Linked DNA regions of Macaca mulatta. The protein of the gene in region 1 purifies or fractionates together with the protein of each later gene. This does not show direct contact. Links are inferred from orthologs where the notes say so. Each region holds a gene or a part of one and is shown in the gene's direction. Other genes may lie near its edges.

What was found. Proteins that work in one complex are often made in the same cells at the same time.
Region 2: the proteins of UBXN7 (region 1) and UFD1 purify together in Homo sapiens (affinity purification with mass spectrometry; 3 studies listed by BioGRID and IntAct, with this or other methods). This does not show direct contact. The link is inferred for Macaca mulatta from reciprocal best matches to the Homo sapiens genes UBXN7 and UFD1.

The regions. Positions count from the first base shown.
Region 1 is NC_133407.1:1,971,547-1,977,034, reverse strand, and holds the start of UBXN7 (UBX domain-containing protein 7), read left to right. Parts: upstream 1-1,996; 5' UTR 1,997-2,115; coding exon 2,116-2,416; exon of another isoform or gene 2,417-4,347; intron 4,348-5,488. UniProt on the Homo sapiens protein: Ubiquitin-binding adapter that links a subset of NEDD8-associated cullin ring ligases (CRLs) to the segregase VCP/p97, to regulate turnover of their ubiquitination substrates.
Region 2 is NC_133415.1:33,250,234-33,255,153, forward strand, and holds part of UFD1 (ubiquitin recognition factor in ER-associated degradation protein 1), read left to right. Parts: intron 1-1,677; coding exon 1,678-1,746; intron 1,747-2,907; coding exon 2,908-2,973; intron 2,974-3,189; coding exon 3,190-3,237; intron 3,238-4,058; coding exon 4,059-4,147; intron 4,148-4,920. UniProt on the Homo sapiens protein: Essential component of the ubiquitin-dependent proteolytic pathway which degrades ubiquitin fusion proteins.

The DNA.
Region 1 (5,488 bases):
GTTTCGCCATGTTGGCCAGGCTGGTTTCCAACTCCTGACTTCAGGTGATCCGCCCGCCTCGGCTTCCCAAAGTGCTGGGATTACTGGAGTCTGCTTTCTTTTACAGTAATCATATCTTCCTGAAACTATAGCCCGGCCGGGCGCGATGGTTCATGCCTGTAATCCCAACACTTTGGGAGGCTGAGGCAGGCGGATCACTTGAGGTCAGCAGTTTGAGACTAGCCTGGTCAACATCGTCTCTACTAAAAATAGAAAAATTAGTCTGGCGTGGTGGTTCGTGCCTGTAATCCCAGTTACTTGGGAGGCTGAGGCAGGAGAATCGCTTGAACTGGGGAGATGGAGGTTGCAGTGAGCTGAGATTGCGCCACTGCACTCCAGCCTGGGCAACAGAGTGAGACTCCCTGTCAAACAAAACAAAACAAAACAAAAAACTATACCCCTTGATTTGACATGGCTATTTAAATTCTCCCCAATAGCATATTTACTCTTAAGATGTGTCAATTCTTCAGATAGCTCATCCCATCTTTTATTGGGCCATTTTCCTCTGAAGATGCAAAATATGTGGGTGGAGGCTGGAAGGTAGGAGGCTAAAACAAACAGAATCGCATGGAATCTCCTTTTTTTTTTTTTGAGACGGAGTCTTGCTCAGTCGCCCAGGCTGGAGTGCAGTGGTGCAATCTCGGCTCACTGCAAGCTCCACCTCCCGGGTTGACGTCATTCTCCTGCCTCAGCCTCCCCAGCAGCTGGGACTACAGGTGCCCGCCACCTCGCCCGGCTAATTTTTTTGTATTTTTAGTAGAGACGGGGTTTCACCGTGTTAGCCAGGATGGTCTCGATCTACTGACCTCATGATCCGCCCACCTCGGCCTCCCAAAGTGCTGGGATTACAGGCGTGAGCCACGGCACCCGGCCGCACGGAATCTCTTTTAACTTTATGGGGGCCGGGCGCGGTGGCTCAAGCCTGTAATCCCAGCACTTTGGGAGGCCGAGACGGGTGGATCACGAGGTCAGGAGATCGAGACCATCCTGGCTAACACGGTGAAACCCCGTCTCTACTAAAAAAAATACAAAAACATAGCCGGGCGAGGTGGCGCGCGCCTGTAGTCCCAGCTACTCGGGAGGCTGAGGCAGGAGAATGGCGTGAACCCGGGAGGCGGAGCTTGCAGTGAGCTGAGATCCGGCCACTGCACTCCAGCATGGGCGACAGAGCGAGACTCCGTCTCAAAAAAAAACAAAAAAAAAACAACAAAAAAAAACACAAAACTTTATGGGCAAGGTGGGGAATCATTAGATTTGAGCGCACCCCACTCATGTAACTGTTTTACAAAATAAAATTATTCAAGTAACACACGAATTTTTTTTTTTGAGATGGATTCTTGATATATTTCCCAGTCTGGTCTCGAACTCCTTGCCTCAAGCGATTCTCCCACCTCGGCCTTCTAAAGTGCTGGGATTACAGTTATGAGCCACCGCGCCCGGCCAGTAATGTTTGTTTAAAAATAAAAAGATAAATAAGAAACTCGAAGTAAAGTCTGCTTTGACCATCGTGCCCATCGTTCTCCCCTCTGAAGGTAACCATTACCAGCGTTTTGAGCACACTTTTCCAGTCTCCTTTCTATATGTCTTCTCAACTCTATTGCATATACAGAGTTTCTTTTTATACACATGACACCTCTTGGGGTCTCACTAAGACGCTAACGGGAGACGTGATGGCCGATTTATTTAAGGAAAGCAGACTAAATAATCGCTGATGAAAACCCACTGGGTGTCAACCCTGCGCTAGGTGCTTTCTTTGGCATGAAGGGTTCTGGAATTTCACTCGCCACAGTCGGTGAGCTGAGCCATTAGTCTAGAGGCTGGGGGGCGGGGTCGGGGAGAGTCGCTTCAAAGCGAGGAGGCAGGGTTTGTATTTTGATGGGACCTAACAGAGCGCGGAGCAACTGCGAAGCAGAAAAAATACCGTTACCGGAGTTGGCCCTGTCAATAAAGCTCGCGAAGCTGAAATGCGAAATATCTGCCAAGACGGAAGCTTCCTTCGGAATGTAGGAATCGACACTGCGCCTGCGAGACTAGCCTTGGAGCCCGGAGAGGAAAGCACCAGCAGTGGCAAAAACGATGCACCGGGCAGGCAGCAACCGAGCAGCCAACCGGAGAGCGGGTAGCGCTCCGGCCCGGTGGGCAAGTGCGCCTGCGCAGACCACTGGAGGGGGCCGGGAGGGGCGGGGCTTGGGGGCGGGGCTTGAGGGGCGGTCAATGCGCCTGCGCACACCGCGCGGCGAGGTGGGGGAGGGCGGTCCGTGTGTGTCTGTGTTGTTGTTCGGCGGCGGCGGCGGCGGCGGTAAGATGGCTGCCCACGGGGGCTCCGCGGCGTCCTCGGCGCTGAAGGGGTTAATTCAACAGTTCACCGCCATCACCGGTAAGAGACGCGGTTACCGGAAGGTGGAGGGGGGGGTCCGGAGCGGGCGGCGGGTCTGCCCCGGGCTGCCCCTCACCTTCAGGCATTCCTCCTTCGGGCTTTACCCACAGCTCCCGTCCTCCCTCCTGAGGAAGAGGCGACGACGGCGTCGGGGTCTCCGGGTTCAGGCGGGAGACAGCCCCCGCGCTCCCGAGACCCTCGTTCTCTGTCTCCTAGTAGTGTGGAGGGAGATCCCCCAGCCCCCCGCCAGCCCAGACCTGGGAATGGGCCGAGTCCGCCGCCCCCGCCGGCCCGGGGACCCGGGGGCGGGAGGAGTGGGGGGCCGCACCCGGGCCACCGCCCTCCTCCTCCTCCTTCATCATCTCCCTTCTCGGTGCAGCCCTGCGGGGCGGTGCGTCTCCTCACCTCCGTTTTCCTTTCTTCCCCGGCCAGGTCATCCTGCCCCGGTCCCCGGCCTGCCCTTCCCCTTTCCGGGCCCCTCGGAGCCATCGCCGTGGCCCTGGCGGGTTCGGGCCCTCCCGCCTTCACGGCGAGGCCGGTGGGTTCGGCCGTGCCCGTACACTTCCCGGGGGATAGGCCGCCAGAAGCGGGGGTGCCGAGGAGGACCCGGGGACTGCGGCTTAGAGGGAAGAATGAGGGGGACCCCGAAGCTGAATCGGGGAGGCCTGGAGGAATCCTGGGTGGCGTTTCCCACCTCCCCATAATAAAATCATAAAGACGGAGACGATGGCGCCGGGGCCTCCTGCTGATAAGATAGGGATGGCGGCAGAAACTTCTTTGAGAGAAAATCTGTTTCTGGGTGTCAGTATCCCCGAAACCCTAGGCCTAGGTTGTTCTCTCCCTTTGGACCCCTGCGAAGGGCACACGCAGATCCTCTTACCGCCTGGAGGAAAGGCCCTAAAGCCATTCTCTGAATTCTGTCTTGTTTCTCTCTGATGGTGCTGAACTTTTCTTGCATGAGTTATTAGAGGGCGGAGCAAATGATGAAGTGCTCTGTGGAGGGATTTGAGGGAAGAGTACTCCAGTGTGCCTGAGTGTAATTTTGCCGTTCTAGTTTGTCATTTTGGAAGGAGGTCAGAATGTTAGTTCCCTTTCTCAACGGATCTGTACTTTATCTCGGAATGTGTTAGATGCGGAGAATGTTTCCATGTTAATGTTCCTAGAGTTTAACGTGGAGTATCTGGTTAAGTAAAATTTTATATTGTTTTAACTACTACAGGCTGTATACTAGTTAAAGTTTTATATTAAAGCTAGCTTTATTTTTTTGCTTTGCAGTGATAACGAGATATTTGACGCATTGTTATCTAGCTTGTGGGCATGGAACATCAGGTCAAAGTTAGTAAAGTAAAATTTGTAATGAAATTGGGGTGAGGAGTTACATGATAACTTCTCTTAATATTTTTAAACTTTGTGATTGGATTATTGAAGATATAAAGGATTGAATTATTAAATATATAAAGGATTTCGTAATGTCTAACAAATCATTGCTGTGGAGAAGATTATTGTGTATATAAGTTAGTGTTGATGCGTTATGCTTATATAGAAAAATTTTCGCAGTGAATCTGATAGAGAAGTGAATATCACTATTAATCCTTTCTTTAGATTTCCTAGAGATAGTTTATGATGCCACTTGGGCCTGGCGCGGTGTCTCACACCTGTAATCCCGGCAGTTTGGGAGACGGAGGCTGGAGATTCACGTGAGGCAAGGAGTTAGAAACCATCCTGGGCAAAACATAGTGAGGCCCCATCTATACAGAAAAAAAAAGTGAGCTGGATGTAGTGGCACCGACATGTAGTCCCAGCTACTGGGGAGGCTGAGGTGGGAGGATTGCTTGAGCCTAGGAGTTAAAGGCTGCAGTGAGTTGATCATGCCACTGCACTCCATCCCTGGCAGGAGAGCAAGACCATTTCTCAAAAAACAAAAAGAAGGAAAAAAAGCCACATTATTATTATTATTTTGAGACAGAGTCTCGCTCTGTTGCCCAGGCTGGAGTGCAGTGGTACGATCTCGGCTCACTGCAACCTCTACCTCCCGGGTTCAAGCGATTCTCCTGTCTCAGCCTCCCTAGTAGCTGGGACTACAGGCGCCTGCCACGAGGCCCGGCTAATTTTTGTATTTTTAGTAAAGACGGGGTTTCATCATGTTGGCCTGGCTGGTCTTGAACTCCTGTCCTCAAATGATCCACTCACCTCAGCCTCCCAAAGTGCTAGGATTACAGGCGTAAGCCACCGTGCCTGGCCCTAAAAGCCACTTAATTAATTTTCAGTTTCTTATGCTAATTACTAGTCTTCCCAAACTCTGATTGGTTTAACGCCACTTTACTACTTCTGTTGCAACATTTTTATTAGGTGCACAAAAAAACCAAAGTGTGATGAGGTGAATTGACTCACTTAATTGCTTTAATTCTGTTTCTGTTAGTCTACACAGCTTGATTTCTGGATCAAGTTGGAGGCCCTCCATCAGTAGACAATGATGTCTGAAAATCTACAGAGGGAAGATACCTCAGAGTGTTCCTGAAATACTGTGAATTTCTATTGATAATTTTTGGGATTCTTCTTACAAGTTAGTGATTAACCATTAGAAACACATGATTGGTTTCTTTTTGCCTTTTTTACATGCCTTAAAAAGAATTTTTTTGGAGTTCTCTCCACATATGTTTAAATCATAGTGTTTATGATTAAAAGGTATTTTACATTTATTAATTGCTGGATGAATTATAGTGACCTTAATCACTTATGCTCTGATTTCACAGAGGTTTTACTTGGAAGCTCAACATTCTTGTAAAAACAAATGCATCATCAAAAATGTGAGTCCTTATTCCTTAGGCAGGAGGGAAAAAAAGAAAAAGAAAAAAATTAAAATAAATGTGAGTCTTATCTTTTCTTTGGCATTTAGAAATAGAACGGAAAATTGAAAGATTTTAGAAAAGTCTTATTTCTTACTGAATAGAACAGATCTCTCTCTGATTCAGTGAGTATGACATAATGACTGAGTTTTGATTTTTTTTTTTTTTTTTTTTTTTAAGAGATGGAGGTCTCCTCTCTTTGTTGCCCAGGCTGTTTTCCAACTTC
Region 2 (4,920 bases), on another chromosome or scaffold:
AGAATCGCTTGAACCTGGGAGGCGAAGGTTGCAGTGAATTGAGACCACACCATTACACTCCAGCTTGGGTGGCAGAGCGAGACTCCATCTCAAAAAAATAAAAGCAAGACAGACTTTAGATAAAAGCAAAGAACCTGAAATGATGCAGGAAAAAGTAGATAGGGCCACTTTTAATTTCTGTGCTTCTGGAAGTTTTTTTTTTTTTTTTTTTTTTTTTGAGATGGAGTCTCACTCTGTCGCCCAGGCTGGAATGCAGTGGTGCGATCTCGGCTTACTGCAAGCTCCACCTCCCGGGTTCACACCATTCTCCTGCCTCAGCCTCCTGGGACTACAGGAGCCTGCCACCACTCCTAGCTAAGTTTTTGTATTTTTTAGTAGAGACGGGGTTTCACCATGTTAGCCAGGATGGTCTCGTTCGCCTGACCTCGTGATCCGCCTGCCTCAGCCTCCCAAAGTGCTGGGATTACAGGTGTGAGCCAATATGCACAGCCCTGCTTCTGGACATTTTTCATGTGCATTTTTTACATTCGCGAGGTCATCTTAGACACAAGCAACATGACTGGTTTTAAAATTCTTTTCCTGTTGGCTGCATAGCATACTGTTGTATAACTATAAATTTATATATGAACAAATATAATTCAGCTGCCTTTTGAGTATACAGACAGTCCCTGACCGTGGTTCTACCTAGAATTTTTCAACTTTGTGATGATTCAAACATGATACACATTCAGTAAAAACCATACTTTGAATATTTATAAAACCATTGTTTTTTATCTTCAGTACAGTATTCAATAAATTACATGAGTTATTCAACATTTGATTATAAAATAAGCTTTATATTAGATGATTTTGCCCAACTCTAGGCTAACGTATGTGTTCTGAGAATGGTTAAGGCAGGCTGCACTATGATGTTTGGTAGGTTAGGAGTATTAATACATTTTTAACTTATGATAAGTTTATGGGACTCGGTTCCATCGTAAGTCAAGGCGCATCTGTACAGTGGCATTAGTGACATTGGTATGAGCCTTCTTAGAATGTTCTCATTGGGAATAGCTAGTTATTTACTTAGAATAAATTTTGAAGGCCAAGTGCGGTGGCTCATGTCTGTAATCCCAGCTCTTTGGGTGGCCGAGGTGGGCAGATCACCTGAGGTCAGGAGTTCAAGACCAGCCTGGTCAACATGGTGAAACCCCGTCTCTACAACAATACACAAATTAGCCACGTGTGGTGGCGCATGCCTATAGTCCCAGCTACTAGGGAGGCTGAGGCAGGAGAAGTGCTTGAAGCCAGGAGGCGGAGGTTCCAGTGAGCCGAGATCACACCACTGCACTCCAGCCTGGGCAATAGGGCAAGACTCTGTCTAAAAATAAAATAAATAGTAAAGTTCCAGAAGTGAACTTTCTGAGTTAGAGATTGTTAGTGTCTTTTGCAGTTAGCTGTATAACTACCTTGTCTAATTTGAACCACATCTGGGGAACAGCATCTCTTCTGCGATGGGCACAGGGCAGCCTGTCCCTTATGGTAGTGTTGTCACAGCAAGAAGTGCAGCTGTAGGTTGTGTCGTGGGCGTGAATGCTGTGTCATTCGCGGGAGCCGGTAGAGCCACAGTAACATGGACAGCGACAGCTTCAGTGCTGCCAGGAAACCATCCAACTGATTTCTGTGTTTGCCCCACAGATCTACGAACTGCGTGTGATGGAGACCAAACCTGACAAGGCAGTGTCCATCATTGAGTGTGACATGAACGTGAGTGGCTCTGTCCAGTTACAGTGAGCCTGGGCCCTGGGAGGATGGGCACTTGGTGACCACTGCAGGCCAGGGTGTCAGGAGGGCATCAAACAGCCCCTGGGACTCTTTGGGCAAAGAGGAGGAAGATGCTGTCAGAACATCATGAGGAGACTGTGACCTTGTCATCTATCTCAGGGCCAGTTGAGGCAACAGAGTGTTGCCAGTGCTGCCATGGTTAGCTCTGACCTGTTGAGGAGTGAATTTTATTTTTTTATTTATTTTTTGAGACTGTGTTTCACTCCTGTTGCCCAGGCTGGAGTGCAGGGGCCTGATCTTGGTTACAACCTCCACCTCCCAGGTTCAAGCGATTCTCCTGTCTCAGCCTCCCGAGTAGCTGGGATTACAGGCATGTGCCACCATGCTCGGCTAGTTTTGTATTTTAGTAGAGACGAGGTTTTACCATGTTGGCCATGCTGGTCTCAAACTCCTCACCTCAGGTAATCCACCCACCTTGGCCTCCCAAAGTGCTGAGATTACAGATATGGGCCACCACGCCTGGCTGAGGAGTGAATATTCTTAAGAGCTAAGGAAGCGTGCTGAACCTTCTGAGTAGGAATGAAGTGCTGATGCACACAGCATCCTGGTTGTATTACTAGGCAATACTGCTGAGCAAAAAAGGCCAATCCCAAAAAGTTACTTCATTATATAGCATCCTTAAAGTGACAGAGCTTTAGAAATGGAAGACAGACTAGGGGTTGCCAGGGCTTAGGACTGGTGGAGGGGGCTGGGAGACAGCTGGGTATGGTTATAAAAAGACAACATGGGCAATCCTAGTGGTGGTGAAACTGTTCTACATCTCCACTGTGGTGGATACATGGACCTACACAGTGATTACATTGTGTAGAACTAAAGATACACATAAACAAAAACATGTAAAACTGGGAAATCTGAATAAGAGTGGTGGGTTGTGCCAGTGTTAATATCTTAGCAGCAATACTTTACTGTAATTTTGTAAGATGCTACCGTTGGGAAAACTGGGCAAGTGTACAAGGCATCTTTCTGTATTATTTCTTAAAACTGCATGTGAATCTATAATTGTCTCAATTAAAAGCAAAAAAGATAAGGAAGCCAAGGGTGGCCATGTCTGAATATTTTACTTTTAAAATCCTGGAAACACAGGTGGACTTTGATGCTCCCCTGGGCTACAAAGAACCCGAAAGACAAGTCCAGCATGAGGAGTCGACAGTAAGTGTTATCCCCAGTGTCCTTTGCTGTCCTGCTGCATGCTGCTTTTGAGTTCCTGGTAGTGACTCGTGGGTGGCCTCTGCTGGTGTTGGTGTCATATCCTCTGCGTCCCTTCCAGCCATGCTTCCGGGGGACATTCTAGCTGGGGGTGGGGGATGAGAGGGAAGCTGGGTGTTCCCGCTGAGGAGCTCACCTATTTTTCTTTTTCTCTGTCAGGAAGGTGAAGCCGGCCACAGTGGCTATGCTGGAGAGCTGGGCTTCCGCGTGAGTACCAGACCACTTGACTTACGTTGCTGTGCCCTCTGCTCCTTGAAATTAGAGCACTCACTCAAGCTGTTCTTCATGATGCTCGATGGACATCAGCAGGGGCTGGGCCTCTGGGTACCTGTGCACATGCATGCAAATCTACCACTTGCTCAGTTACCAAACACTTTTATATCTACTCTCTGCTGGAATCTTCCCAACAGCCCCATAAGGCAGCCCAGCTTTTTAAGAATTTCTAACCTACCGAAGAGTTTAAATAGTACAGTAGACATATACTCTTCCCTTAGGTTCACCAAACGTTACCACATTTGCTTTCTCTCTCTTGTAAATCATGTTTCCTTTTTTCTTTGCCTGTACCATGTGGGTTGCAAACATGACCCTTAGCATAACCACTGGCAAGGCTCCGTGGGAAACAGGTGGAGGTGGCTCATGTGTGGGCACTGAGGTGGCAGGAGGTGCCAGGAAGCAGCAGAGACAGCAGAATGATGGGAAGCTGAGCTATGGGGCAGTCACAACAGTGACCTTAGCCCACCCACAGAGCTTGAACTGGGTGGCCCTGCAGAGGCAGGGGTCAGGCCTTTTAACCTAACACTGACTGCTGGCTGCCCTTGGCCAAGTGGCTCTCTTCAGCTCATGGCCGCCCCCTGAGGAACTGGGCAGAGTTCTCAGCTGCCAGCACCCCAGCAGCTGAGGAGTCAGGGCTTCGGTCCTGAAGGGTCTGCACAGCACCCCAGCTCACATCCCTGCAGTGATCTCCAAGCAAAGGACATATCTGTCCTCACACTTGGGCTCATTATATGACTCAACTGCTTCCTGTCTAGGCTTTCTCCGGCTCTGGCAATAGACTGGATGGAAAGAAGAAAGGGGTGGAGCCCAGCCCCTCCCCAATCAAGCCTGGAGATATTAAAAGGTAAGTCTGTCTTGGCTGTCCTTCAGGACAGGAGGAGGATCTGTGCCAGCCCTCTGGGGTGGGGCAGCCTCACCCCAGTTCTGGAGACAAAGCCTGGGTCAGTAGGCCCAAGGGACTTACCCTTACCTGCTCTCCTTGGTGGGGTGGAGCACAACATGTCCCTCCTTCCACAGTGCCACCCCCAGTACCACTGTGGTCCAGCCTCACTCCATACCTCAATTCAGCGTCTTCTTGCCCCCAGTGGCTTTCCGAAGATGTGCGTCTGATCAGATCTGTCTCTTATTCAAAACCCTTCTGGTCCCTATTTGGTGATCTGCCTATTTTCCTGTTTTGTGACTTTGAATTATTAATCAGGTCACATTATCTTAGTTCTCCTGAAAGTTCCCTGAGGAGCTACCTCAGATGTGCTTCTGTTGCTGGGTCCAGGGACCCACAGCAGACCCTTCCTCTGGTGGCCATGATGGCAGGGGCAGGGCTGAGGTGTGTCAGTTGTCTGTTGTGTGTGTGAAATCAGGAGAATACTGGAGTGAGAGTCTAGCCACCTCAGGGGGTTCTGTGAAGCTCAGGACAGTGACAGTGAGGGCTTCCCAATCCTTCAGATGACCCCTCTCCATAGACAGGTACAGAGCCTAAAGCCCCTGGCCCTATACCCAATGCTGATACTAAACCAGGAAGCCAGTTACCTTCTGCTTCCCTCCTGGGAGGATGCCAGGAAGCACCAAAGGGCCCAGGTGGGGTGCAGCAGCATCTTTTCTGCATTCCTCTTCACTGTC